Linked DNA regions of Macaca mulatta. Each later gene encodes a partner of the first gene's protein in a complex. Links are inferred from orthologs where the notes say so. Each region holds a gene or a part of one and is shown on either strand. Other genes may lie near its edges.

Region 1 (3,500 bases):
GATGTATAACAAAAGTTTCAATGTAGCAAATGGAGCTTAAGACTAATTACCATGCTATTACACTGCCATTAGTAATGCTATTTGTAATTATATATCAAGAACTAGGGAATATGAATTGGTTTTCTATGTCTTACATCCACCTAGTACAAGAACCATAAAGACCAACTCTGAAATACTAGGCCAAGTTTCTGAATTTCATTTAAGTCTTTTAAGCCATTTCAGCTATTTTAAAAGTCAGAAACATCTACTTATTTGTAATAAAGCAAAGAATTATGGCTTCTATGGTTCATTAACAATGTATTCTTAATTAAACTCGTCCTGATCAAAGTTTTCAGAGGCTTGCTGTTTTGTTTATACACTCAGATATTTGGAATTATCCAATGTCTGACTTTCCGCTGCTCATCAAAATGTTTCCGTATGGCATATACAGCTTGTAAGCTGGGTCTTCTTAGCTATACTCTTTGGATTCTGCATTATTTGTGGAGTTTTGTAGGTATCAAGCAGACATTATGAAGGACCTAGGGTAGGTAATGGGACAGCCACAGGTAAATTGGGCTGATTTTATGCCCTGTTGCACCAGAATATGCATTTCCTATGATGTGTCGAGAGGCCACACGGAAATTCCAAGTAGAAATGGGCAAAACAAAGACCACCACTTTGGCAAGAGTCTTGCCCTGGGCAAGTACTCCATTGGTTTCTACAGCAGCTCATACTTACTTGCACAATCTTCTTGTGAAATGTGGTTATTGATACTAATGTCATCCACAGCAATCCCACCAAGGTTTCCTTTTCCGATTTCGCCCTCGAAAATCACCTAACAAAATAAGATCATTTTCACAGTATTGAAATGCTCATCTCACGTGGCAGAGTTTACAAATGCTTGTTCAGCTCCCGCTATGACACATAAATTAAATTCATCAGATTCAGTGTAAGCACACACTTCACTCATCAATCCACATTAGCTGCCTGGTGATGGCATGCACCTTCTCCTCACACTCTCTTTTTATAATACAAACTTTAAAATGGGAGAAAGCAGCAAACAAAAGGAATAATACATTGTGAAAGCCCAGAAATAGATGACATGGAAGTCCTTTGTGTTCTTTCTCAGCAAATTGGTTCTGTTCCTACAATATAGGAGACTGTGAAATCTGCTATGAAGGTGGTTATCATTGCAGCAATATCTCAGGGTTGGGAAACACTGGAAATAATTTCAGAATAATTCCCGCATCTCATTTGCACAACCTCCAACATATCGTCTCAGTATTCCTGCAGCCACTGCCCTTTCCAGCCTTGGGAAGAGGTCATACCTGATAAAGTTTCAGAGACTTGTGAAGCAAGACACGCCCTTCCTTCCAGTGGTCACCTTGGTGTCCAATGGCCATCCAGACCAGCTGATCGTACTCCTCTGGCTTCTGGTAGCGCAGTTTGACCCTGAGTGTGCCGACGTGGGACCCAGACATGTGATACCAGAAGGTCATGCAGTGGGCAGAGTTCTGGGAATAAACCACAGGGCTCACCAGGCGAGCCACTTTGCCCTTCTGATTTTCATCAGCTTGGGAATAGATGAAGTTGCCATCTCCTGCTATGACAAAGAACTGTGTTAGGGAGAGTGGCCAGGATTACCACACTTTTATCTCTCTTATTTCAAGTCTCACTAATCAAAAGCTTCCTGCGCTGAGTGCCAAGAACTAAAATATGTAGTGGAAAGGGAGAAGTGTGCATACTTGGGGACCTCATGGGCACCTGAGGCCCTGCTCTCAGCTCCTGCAAAATGGACATTTGATTAGGGGAAGGCTGAGTGGCACTAATTAGGATACTACTTATAATGGAATACATTTTCATATGGACACAGGCTATGGCTCAAGCTGGCATTTGTACCATCACAAGCAAACTGAAAGCAAAGTCTGTGCATAGCCTGGACTGAAAACGCCTGGCTCTCTAAGAAGAAACCTTATTTATTTATTTATTTGTTATGTTTAGACACTCCTGTTGCCCAGGTTGGGATGCAGTGGTGCGATCATAGCTCATTGCAGCCTCAAACTCCTTGGTTCAAGTGATCATCCTGCCTCAACATTCTGAGTAGCTATGACTATGGGCCCGTGTCACCATGCTCAGCTAGTTCTTAAAAAGATTAATTTTTTCTTTAAGAAGAGATAGAGTCTTTGTTGCCTGTGTTGCCCAGGCTAGTCTCAAACTCCTGGTCTCAAGCAATCCTCCCACACTGGCCTCCCAAAATGCTGGGATTACAGGCATGATTCACCACGCTGGGCCTAAGAAACCCTGTTTTCATGCAACTTTAAGATCGCACAGCAGCATCCATGTGAACACATGCATTAAATGAAATCATTGAGATGTATTTTTATTTATCATTTGAGCAGCAGGAATTCTGATTAAAGAAACTTCTGTCAATATGACTCCTTGATAATCATAAACCTGTAGTTCTTCCTAATAATGTAGTAGTCTTTTAAAAAAAACTTTTTCAAGTTCAGATTATTTTTCCCATAGTTTGTTTTCACGGTTTTTGAATTCCTTAAACACACCTGAGAGCTTGCATCTCTCCTGTGAGCCCTGCTCCTATTTGAGGTGGGCTTCTGGCCCAAGGAGAGGAAGGTTGCCTTGTTGAGGTTCATTAGAACGTGCCATTTTGGCAACATAGACACTTGCTGAACTGCGAGGACTTTCTCTTGGCTTCACTTTTAATGACCCCCACTGGGAACATTTCCTCCTGCCACCACCTGGTCTAAACACACAACCCATGTTTCACTGTTGGCTTTGCAAATAGAAATCATCTTCTCTAACGCCTCACCTGATTAAGTGTGAATCTGCTGCTCGGGCCTCAATGGGCAGCAGGAGGTTGTGTTTGTTGCCCAAGAGGCTTGTGTGTTTGCAAGGTGCTTTCTCACTGTGCACACGTGGGCACATACTCCTCTCTGCTCGCCTGTGTCAACAGTGTCCAGGTGGATGTGGATGTGTTCACGGGCAGTTTCCTTTCCTTACCTGGCTGCTTATGTGAGAGCCCACCCTTCTTCAAACCAGTGGGTGGAATCATAAGGGAAGGGTGTTCACAAGTGGCAACTCTAGCCCCTCTAGTAGGTTTGATACTGCAGGACGAATGTCCCTCTCGCTCTCCGACCTTGCAGGGTGTCCTCTGTGACTGAGCTGATCCATTCACACTTAGGATTTGTTTGCCCACTAATTTATCAAGATGTGATCACCTTGATGGTGATCCATCAAGATCCATCAAGATCCATCAATCCACCAAGATGGGAAAAAAATACACCCATTGTGCCTCCGTCCCCCCAGTCTTATGGAAAAAAGACTGAAATTGGCAATGCTGCTGCCATGTCTTAATCCCACTTATTGAGCTCACTGCTCGAAGTTTATTGAGGCCAGTCAGAGAATGGGTGTTAGAAAGAAGGAGAGAAGTGGACGTAGGTAGAGGGATGCTCTCCCATTGGACATCCTCACTCAACTGCACCATGATCACTTCCTACCCACAA
Region 2 (4,022 bases), on another chromosome or scaffold:
TGTATGCCCCCCTCTCCGCCCCACATCGCCACTGCCAGGGTGGCTCCGTGCGGGCCGAGGGGACCCAGGGGGGTGTCGGCAAACATTGGTAGGGCGAGAGCCGGCGAGCCAGGCGGCGGCGGGTGGGAGAGTGTAGGGAGGCGCCCCCTGCCCCCTCTGCCAGCAGCTCTCCCTCGGTCTAGATGTCAGCCGCGAGCTCCGAGCCAGCGAGAGCGAGCCAGAGAGGGAGCGGCGGCGGGCGGCGGGCGGCGGGCGGCGGGGAGGAGAGGAGGCGAGGCGAGGGAGGGAGGAAGGGAAGCAGGGAGGGCGGGAGGGAGGAGAGGAGGACCCAGAGAGCGCCAGGCAGCTGGAGTTTTTGCAGCGCTTGGCCGGGCTTCAATGCACAGCAGCAGCGAGCCGCGGCGGCAGCAGGCAGCCCGGGAGCTCCGGCGGCGGCCGAGCCAGCGGCGGCCCCGCTCCCTGCCCCCTGCAAACTTTGCTAGCAGCCCGCCCGGGGGGCCGGGGGCGCGCCCGGGAGGCCCGGCTCGGCCCGCGGCCGAGCTCTCCTCTGCCGCAGCGCCAGCCGCCGCCACCACCACCGCCGCAGCCCCGCGCCTCCCCGGGGAGCAGCCGGCGGCTCCCGAGGCCCCCCAGCCCCGGCCCCAGGGCACTGCCCGGCGAATTCCCCGGCAAGGGTGGGGGCTGCAGCGGCGCGGCCGGCCGCGGGCTGCCGGGGGGCGGCCGCCGCTACCCAGAGAGGCGCGCAGAGGCGCCGAGAGCGCTCCCCGGCGGGTCCCCCGCGCACTCGCCGCGCCCGGGCAGCGGCCCGACCGGGCGAGCATGGGCGGCGCGGAGTGACGCCGCTGTGCCCGCTTGGCATCAAGGACATTCAGCCCGCGGGGGTGGGGACGAAGGGGGGCAGCCCCGCGTCGCCACCGCAGCCCCCGAGAGCCGCCGCCGCTGCTTAGACTCGGGGGTTGGGTGGAGAAAAGGGGTGTTCGGAATCGATCCCCATTTTCCGACCTTCTTGTTGGACATTACGCCCACCTTGGACGCCGCAAGAGGAGCTGTCAAGCCCCGCAGGCTCTGATTCGGCGCCCTCCGCGTTCCTCGGTTGCTCCCGGCTTCCCTGTGCCTCGGTGGAGTATTTGCGTTCGGGGCTGGGGCTGGAGGAGGCAGCCACACGCGCGCACACGCACACGTTCAGAGGAGGGCGAGAGGCAGCGGCATAGGCTCCATCTGCAGTGTCAATGCGGCGCTCCCGCTGAAGGAGGGAAACGCGGCGCGTCCAGGTAAGGAGCCGGCCAGCCGGGGAGCGGGGCCGGGCGGGCGGTGAGGGCAGCGCGGTCGGAGAGACCCGGGCCGGGTCGGCCCGGGAATCCTCGGTGCCCTGGAGCCAGCCCGCGGCACACGCACACACACACACGCAGGCACACACACAGATCCACACCGGCACACACGGCGCTCGCGCACCTGCCCACGTCCCACCTGGACGCCCGCGGAGGTGCAGCGGCCGGAGCAGGGATTTCCCGGGTGCGTTCTCCTCTCACTCTCCCGGACTCAGACTTCTCTTTCCCGGACTTTCGGGGTGGGATTCTGTGTATTCCCGGCTCTGCCTCCCACCCGAAAAGGTTGAGGGAGCGATTTTTTAGCTCTCAGCCCCTTTCATCCCTAGCTGGGCTTTAAAACGGGAGAAGTCCTGGGAGGTCTCCGGAGACCCACCCAGTGTCATCGCGGCCCCGTGGCCTTTGGACACCCTGGGATTTCAACGGGAGACAGAACCACAGATATTCGGCCGCCTATTTGGAGAGAGTGATGGCCCAACGCGTGGAGAGGAGGCCACATAGGCGGTTGGGGCTGCAGTTCTGTAGGGCGGTGCATATGGAACAGACACTGCGTTTCCCCAGTAAGAGGCAGCACAAACGCCTTTCTGAAGCGTGGCACTGCTTCCCCGGGAATGCGCCGAGATTTCAGACAGAAAGCGGCTTAAAGCATCGCCGCGTATGTTGCTTGTCTAGGGAAGGTACGGGGGTCATATCCTCCTTAAAAGGTATGACCTTATTCACAGCCTCAGTCCCTGCTTAGCAGCAAGGAGACAGGGCTTGGAGACACAGGACTTGGGTCCCCTCTCACCTCCCTACCCTTCCTTGGCACATGGGGCTGCCTTCCCCGGTGCCTCCGGCTGGCGAACACCTGTCACATGCCTTTCGAGGTGTGTGTCTGAGAAAGATAACTAGAAGGGGGAAGCACGAGGGGTGTAGTTCTCCAAAAGAGGAGGCTTCCCTCCCTCACGACCGCGGCGGGCGGCGGTGCCCACTGGAGGAGGCAAAGCATTCATGGGTCTGCCAGCGTCCCCCAGAGCCCAGGGCTGCTCCGAGTGTAGAACCACTCCACAGAAGCCCGTTCTTTAAGGTCCTATTTCCCGAAAGCATTTTCGTTCTTGTTCTCTCTGGCTGGAGTTTCACAGGCTGCTCATTTTAACTTTTTCTGGAGGAGGTAGGAAGTGTCTGGGGTTCTAAGAGGCTTTTCCATAGTTCCCTTCTTAGGGTCTAAGAGCAACTCATTTAGGGTCTCAGTTGTCATAGGGAGAAGAACATGAGCTCCAAAACAAATTTGGAATTGAATATACATGTACAAGCTCCTGCGTTTCTGGAGCTGTCCCTTTGAGGTACCTTTCTGGGCAACCTGATCATATCATTCTCCCCCAGAACCGAGTAAGCTTGTACCCTCTGTCCAAGATCATGTGTTCAGAGTATCCCACAAACCCACCAGTGGGAAAAATACGTTACGAGTCTTCCAGAACATGATGGGAGAGGAGCAAACATTCTTTTGAACAAGGAGGCCTCAGTGCTAGGCTCAGAATTTGGGTTGTTTTTGTAAATCCTGAAGATGGGGGTTGAATGAAACGGCTTTTTCAGCACCCTGACTCCGCTATTTCCAAACTTTTTTCAGCTCCTGCAAAGGTCTCTGGCTAGGCTGGGGAGAAGCGCAGACGCCCCGGGAGGGAGATTGTATTCCCGCTGTATGCTGTGTGAGCTGCCCTTTGATTGACTGAAAAGCGTAGATGGAATAAAGCAAATCTCTCACAATGGGGAGACCCCAGTAGGGGGAAGAAACCTTATTTGCTTTTTAAGCATGGTGGGCGTGTGCACACACATACACACCCAAGATATATACCCACATGCGTTCTCAGAGTCTGGCTAAATGTGGTCAGCTCCCCTAGCCATGTGTGACAATGGGGTCCACCTCTGTCTTCCGGGCTGTGGAAGAAATGGAACATTTCTCCCCACATGCCCCTCGAGGGCGTGGACAGGTAGGTCCCACCTACTTGTACAGCAGCACATGGTTTGCAATAGAAATAATGAGCTCCAGCAACAGTGGGTGCCTCCCAGGTAAACAGTCCCTCACGAGACCTGGAAGAGGCAAAGGGATAGGGTACAGGATCTTCCTGAAATGTCTGCATCTTCCCTGCAGACCTCCACTCCTTTCTCTGCTTTCCTCTCTACCCTCTTTCCTTTCTCATGTATTTGCAGCCTCAGGATCCATCATTTTAATGCAAAGCCAGCAGTCATTATGCTGGTTATAAGCTAAACATCTGGGTTCAAACAATCTCCGCACTTTCCGCACTTAGCATTAGGTACCAATTTGGTTTCTAGGACAAGGCAAGCATTAATTAACATCTCTGTAAAGCGGAGTATATATCACGTTTTCCTGGCTCTCTTGCCCAGCCCTGGAGCATGCCATGCTGTCATTCACCCTCTCTGCCACTCTTCTGTGCCCTTCCTTTTAAGTTCTCTGAGGTCTTTCTCACTGGGAAGGGATTCACACTAGAAAAACTCCAGCCATGAATGCTTCTTTTCAGCAGACCCTCACTGCCTGGTAGATGGTGCTTAAGGCAGCTCTCCTGTGAGCACTAGGCGTAGGTCACCTGCAAGCTGCTCCTTCTTGCCCAATCACACCCTCCCGGGGCTCTCCTCTGTCCTCCCAGGACTTCACCCTGGATGCCCACCGGGACACTGCAGACATTTCTGGAGGACTCCAAG
Region 3 (4,221 bases), on another chromosome or scaffold:
TATGCCCTGTCAAAAAGAAGGACCAGCTGGGATTTCCTTGGCAGACTCATGGTCCCTGGGTAGAGGAGATCTCCTGGTACTTTACCACTGCTGCTCTTCAGCATCTTCCCTGCACATCACTCCAAATGTCATTTCCATTTAACTGCTTTGCAAGCCAATTTGCCCCCATCCTAATGCAATTTGCTGAGGACAGTGAGGGAGCAGAGAGGGCAGTCTGCATTGCCCTCCCTTTATCAGCGGGTCCCTGAAGAGGATCAGCTGCAGAGTGGAGGGAAATAACTCCTTTAGGTAATGCTGGCTGGTGGCAGCAGGGGCAAGTTCCGGGATGAGGAGGGGTTGGTGGTGATGCTGGGTGGAAGAAGGGGAATGAAAAACAACCTCGCTAGGGTATTTCCACAGATTCCACTCTGTTTCCTTGGTTCCCTACCCTTTCTCCTCACTGCCCCTTCAGCCCCCAGGACACCACCGAGGAGAGATCCCAGGTAATTAGTTCAAATGGTTCTCTGTGAAGAGAGAGGGAAATTAATGAATTCTTCTCTTTTCTTGCCTGGAGGTCAGAGGGGAGAGGGCTGCAAGAAACTCTGGGAGCTTTCTGGGGTCATTGCATAAAAGTTGTGCATTTCAGTTAGGAATAGCTGAATTCCTCCAGCCAAGGTTATCTCTTCCTGGGGCTCTGTCACTCAGTAGAAGGCCCCAGAATCCAAAGTCAACCCAGAGGGAACAGTGAGGTTTCAATGTCTAGGAAAGAAGCCCAGCAAAGGAGGGAGACTGCTATTGTGTGGGGAGAGGGGAGAGCTAAACCTGACTCGTGCTCTCAAAGTGTCCAGCCCAGGCCAGCCAAGATATTCATCTTGGCCTGCCGCTCATAAGCCTTGTCCACTGGGCACGTGAATGGAAGGAAATGAATGTGACCCCAAATTTCTGTGGGTTCCTCCAAGCCAATGGGCCCCCAAGTGACTGCCTCAAGCTGTGATTGGCAGTCCCAATCCCCTCAAACTGATCCTGCCTTCATGTCCCTTGTGTACCTTCTATGATGTGCCACTGTCACTCTAACATCTTAGATTCCTACAGGAATCCTGTTCATATTTCCATTGCCCACCTCCTGGGGCTCTCATTTCTAGACCCTTGCTGACCTAGAACCTCAAATCTCTTATCCAACTTCCTCTCCCCCATTATTTCTATCCCTCCTGAGCAGAGCTGAGTTTGATTAGGTAGGTCCCACTAGGGCAAGGGTCATTCCAAACAGGTGGACACTTTTTCGGGGACCTAGAATGGTAGTTTCTGGTGACTCTCTGGGCATCTAGACCATGATTGGTATTATAGAGACTACCTGTGGGATGGATAAAAAGGGCTAGAATTTTCCAGGATCCCTACCTAACTTGTGGGGTGGGGCAAGAAAGAGCACATGGAAGGAAATATTCTCAAATGGTTCATAAGGAGCCTCTGGGACCCTAAGCAAACTCCCATTTCAACCCCCAGCACTCGCGTGGTCCTCAAACTATGGGGCTGGACCCCTGCTGGGCGATACACTGCAAAGGGAGTCCTGGGAGATGAAACACTCAGACCCATTCAGTGCCTGGGAATCTCTCCCTGAGCCTTATGGAACCCGCGCAAATGATGTTTTCCCCTTCCCCTGATCTCCAGTCCCGGATCTGAAGGGACAGCCGGCGGCCACCAGGGACTCTGGCACTGGAGTGAACGCCCCCAAATCGATCGCTGGCCACTGTGGCTTTGGGTTGTCTCGCTGGTGCCACCGAGGCCCTCTTTGGGCTCCAGCTCTCGGGACAGCCTTGCCGCCCCGAGCTCCCCAAAGCCGCAGAGCGCCGGCAGGTGCGCGGTGGAGGCGCGCCGCGGAGCGCTGCTGCCGCCTTCAGCCCGCGGCCGGGAAGCCTGCTGGCTGCCGGCCGGGAAGCCCTGGGCGGGAGGCACCGGCTCCAGTGAGCCTGAGATCGCGCGCACGCCGCGCTCCGGCCCGCGAAAGTGGCCGAGCCCACACGGGGACTCGCCCGCCGCGGCCAAGCCCGGTTGCCTGGGGCCGGGGCCCCAAAGAGGCGGGTGCGGGAGAAGCCGCCACGGGTGTGCGCGCCTGTGGGGAGAAGGCTGAAGGCGCTGCCGACTCCGAGCGTCCGGCCCAGCCGCCGCTTACCCAGCTCGGCGACGTCGGTCTGTCCTTCCGTCCCTGCTCGGTCTGCCTCGGCCGCCGGCTGCTGAGGGCGGCGCGAGGCCCCTCTCCCTGCCCGCAGCTCCGAATCAGGGAGAAGACCAAATCCACATGGAGTCCAAATTCATTAAAATCCACGTCAAGCCACCAGCCACTTATCTGTATTCCTGAAGTCGCCCCGCGGTCTCCGCTCCGCGCGCCCCTCAGTCCTCCGTCGCCCCGCAGCAGCCCGGCTGGGCGCTGTCGCCGGCTCGCTGGGGGCACCTGGAGGCGCCGAGGGGGCGTGTGGGGGTGGCCGGCGGTGTCTCTCGTGGGGAAGAAGCAGAGCCCCGGCTGTCTTCAGATTTTTCCAGCGCGACTTTCCGGGCTCCTCTGACATCAGCAATCCCGGCGCTTCCTTCCCTTCTTGCTCTCCGGTTCGTTCACAGTCCCATTTCCTCCGGGAGCCTGGCTTTCCAGATCTATTTCGAGGTTTGCTCCGCCGGCTGCGGCCCTCGCGCTGCCTACCGTTCCCAAGCTCGCGGGGTCTCTCTCCGGATCGCTCGCCCTCTCGGCTGAAAAATTCTCAGCAACTGCGCTCCGCTGCCCTCCCGCTCCAGTCTGGCGCGGATGCCTCTCAGCCCGGCAGCTCTGGCTCCCGCGGTGGCGGCGGCGGCGGCGGCGGCGGAGCCCTGAGCGCCGGCCTCCCTATTTTACCATGCAGCTCATTATCATAGAGGCCGCGCGCGTTAACCCCCTCCCCGCCGGCCGCGGCCGCCCGAGCTGGGGCCGCGCCCGCTGCTGGCACCGCCCGCCACAGCCAGCCCCGTGCCCCCTCCCCCGCCCGCGCGGACTTCCTCCTCCGCAAGCTGTCAACAAAGGAGAAGCAGGTTTGGCATCCGGAGGCCGCTCCGCTGCCTGTCCTGCGCCCAGCTCAGCCCGGACCCATTGGCCACCTTAAGTAGCCAAGGGGGCAAGGAAAATGCTACCAGGGCCCGGGAATTCGAGTAGGGCCTTGCGAACCCAGCTGGTTTAGCCCCCGGTGGAGATAGAAGGTCGAGCGTTGGGGTTAGCGGGGAGCTCAGGACACAGGAAGAGTGGGTGAGGGCAGTAGGGACAGGGACTCCCCCGCCATTCGCATCACCTGTCACCGCGCACATCCTGCACACCTCCCTCTTGATCTTTGAGTGAGGGGTGAGCGGGGAGGAACGGGGCTTGTCTGATGGGGTTGAGACTAGAGTCTTGGAATTTGTGGGAGCAAATTTCCTCTTCTTGTAAATTAAAAAAAAAAAAAAAAAAAAAGCCAGCAAGCTGTCAAATAAGGCTTGAAGTTGTTATTATTATTGCAACGAGAAGATGAACCTTGCTCTGAATTGAATCTCAGGCTTCCAGCCCTGATAGGGATCCTGGGCATCTGAGAAGTCCCGACTTGGATGAGGGCATTGGGGACCGGAGAAGAGCTTTCTATATCCAATTCAGAGAATCTTTTTGCCAGGGGAATCAGAGGGGTGGCGATAAGATAACTTATTTTAATAACCTAAGGTGAGAGGTTTCAGGATTCTGGACGACAATGCCTCGGTGCCCTCAAGGCCACTGATGCCTTGCTACACAGTCTCAGTAACTCTGCAGCTTCTAAACACTGCTTTTCGGAAGGGGCCTGCAAGCTGGACCCCAGCGAGTTCGCAGGGTCTGCGTAGTCCCTGCTGGCGATTAGAGCTCACACGAGTTTACTCCTGTCCAAGTACTCTGTTAAGCTTCCTCTACTGCCCTCTCGTGGCCACAGTCCTCAGTGGTATAAATCGAAAAAACAATATAAATCACTACAGAAAACCTAAAAGCAATTGCACGAAATTCTTAGAGCAGTAGGGGCAGAAGAAAGGCAGGGAGGGAGGGATGAAGAAAGGGAGCCAGAAAAAAGAGAGAGAGAGAAAGAGAGGAAGAAGGAAAGGAAATCTAGACTAACCAGTCATCTCGAACAATCGTTCATTCAATACAGGACTGGGGGATCCAGGCTTTCCTCCAGTATCTGCAGAAATCAGCTAATTCTTCAAAAGTCCTTCATTGTAATTAGCTGAAATTTG

The links. The genes of interacting proteins can lie anywhere in the genome.
Region 2: the proteins of NRP1 (region 1) and PLXNA4 are in contact, whole or in part, in a cryo-EM structure (PDB 7M0R), measured with the Mus musculus proteins. The link is inferred for Macaca mulatta from reciprocal best matches to the Homo sapiens genes NRP1 and PLXNA4. Residues at the interface, in NP_032763.2 of Mus musculus: Arg80, Tyr84, Asp126, Tyr127, Glu128; in NP_786926.2 of Mus musculus: Glu272, Lys340, Lys343, Lys345, Leu349.
Region 3: the proteins of NRP1 (region 1) and PLXNA2 are in contact, whole or in part, in a crystal structure (PDB 4GZA), measured with the Mus musculus proteins. The link is inferred for Macaca mulatta from reciprocal best matches to the Homo sapiens genes NRP1 and PLXNA2. Residues at the interface, in NP_032763.2 of Mus musculus: Glu78, Arg80, Asp81, Lys83, Tyr84, Asp126, Tyr127, Glu128, Thr129; in NP_032908.2 of Mus musculus: Asp273, Leu274, Phe275, Glu306, Lys341, Gly342, Gln343, Lys344, Gln345, His348, Pro350.

What each region holds. Positions count from the first base shown.
Region 1 is NC_133414.1:34,571,052-34,574,551, forward strand, and holds part of NRP1 (neuropilin-1), read right to left. Parts: intron 1,580-3,500; coding exon 1,308-1,579; intron 815-1,307; coding exon 718-814; intron 1-717. UniProt on the Homo sapiens protein: Cell-surface receptor involved in the development of the cardiovascular system, in angiogenesis, in the formation of certain neuronal circuits and in organogenesis outside the nervous system. Mediates the chemorepulsant activity of semaphorins.
Region 2 is NC_133408.1:172,283,205-172,287,226, reverse strand, and holds the start of PLXNA4 (plexin-A4), read left to right. Parts: upstream 1-1,222; 5' UTR 1,223-1,271; intron 1,272-4,022. UniProt on the Homo sapiens protein: Coreceptor for SEMA3A. Necessary for signaling by class 3 semaphorins and subsequent remodeling of the cytoskeleton. Plays a role in axon guidance in the developing nervous system. Class 3 semaphorins bind to a complex composed of a neuropilin and a plexin.
Region 3 is NC_133406.1:65,981,083-65,985,303, forward strand, and holds the start of PLXNA2 (plexin-A2), read right to left. Parts: upstream 2,801-4,221; 5' UTR 2,147-2,800; intron 1-2,146. UniProt on the Homo sapiens protein: Coreceptor for SEMA3A and SEMA6A. Necessary for signaling by SEMA6A and class 3 semaphorins and subsequent remodeling of the cytoskeleton. Plays a role in axon guidance, invasive growth and cell migration.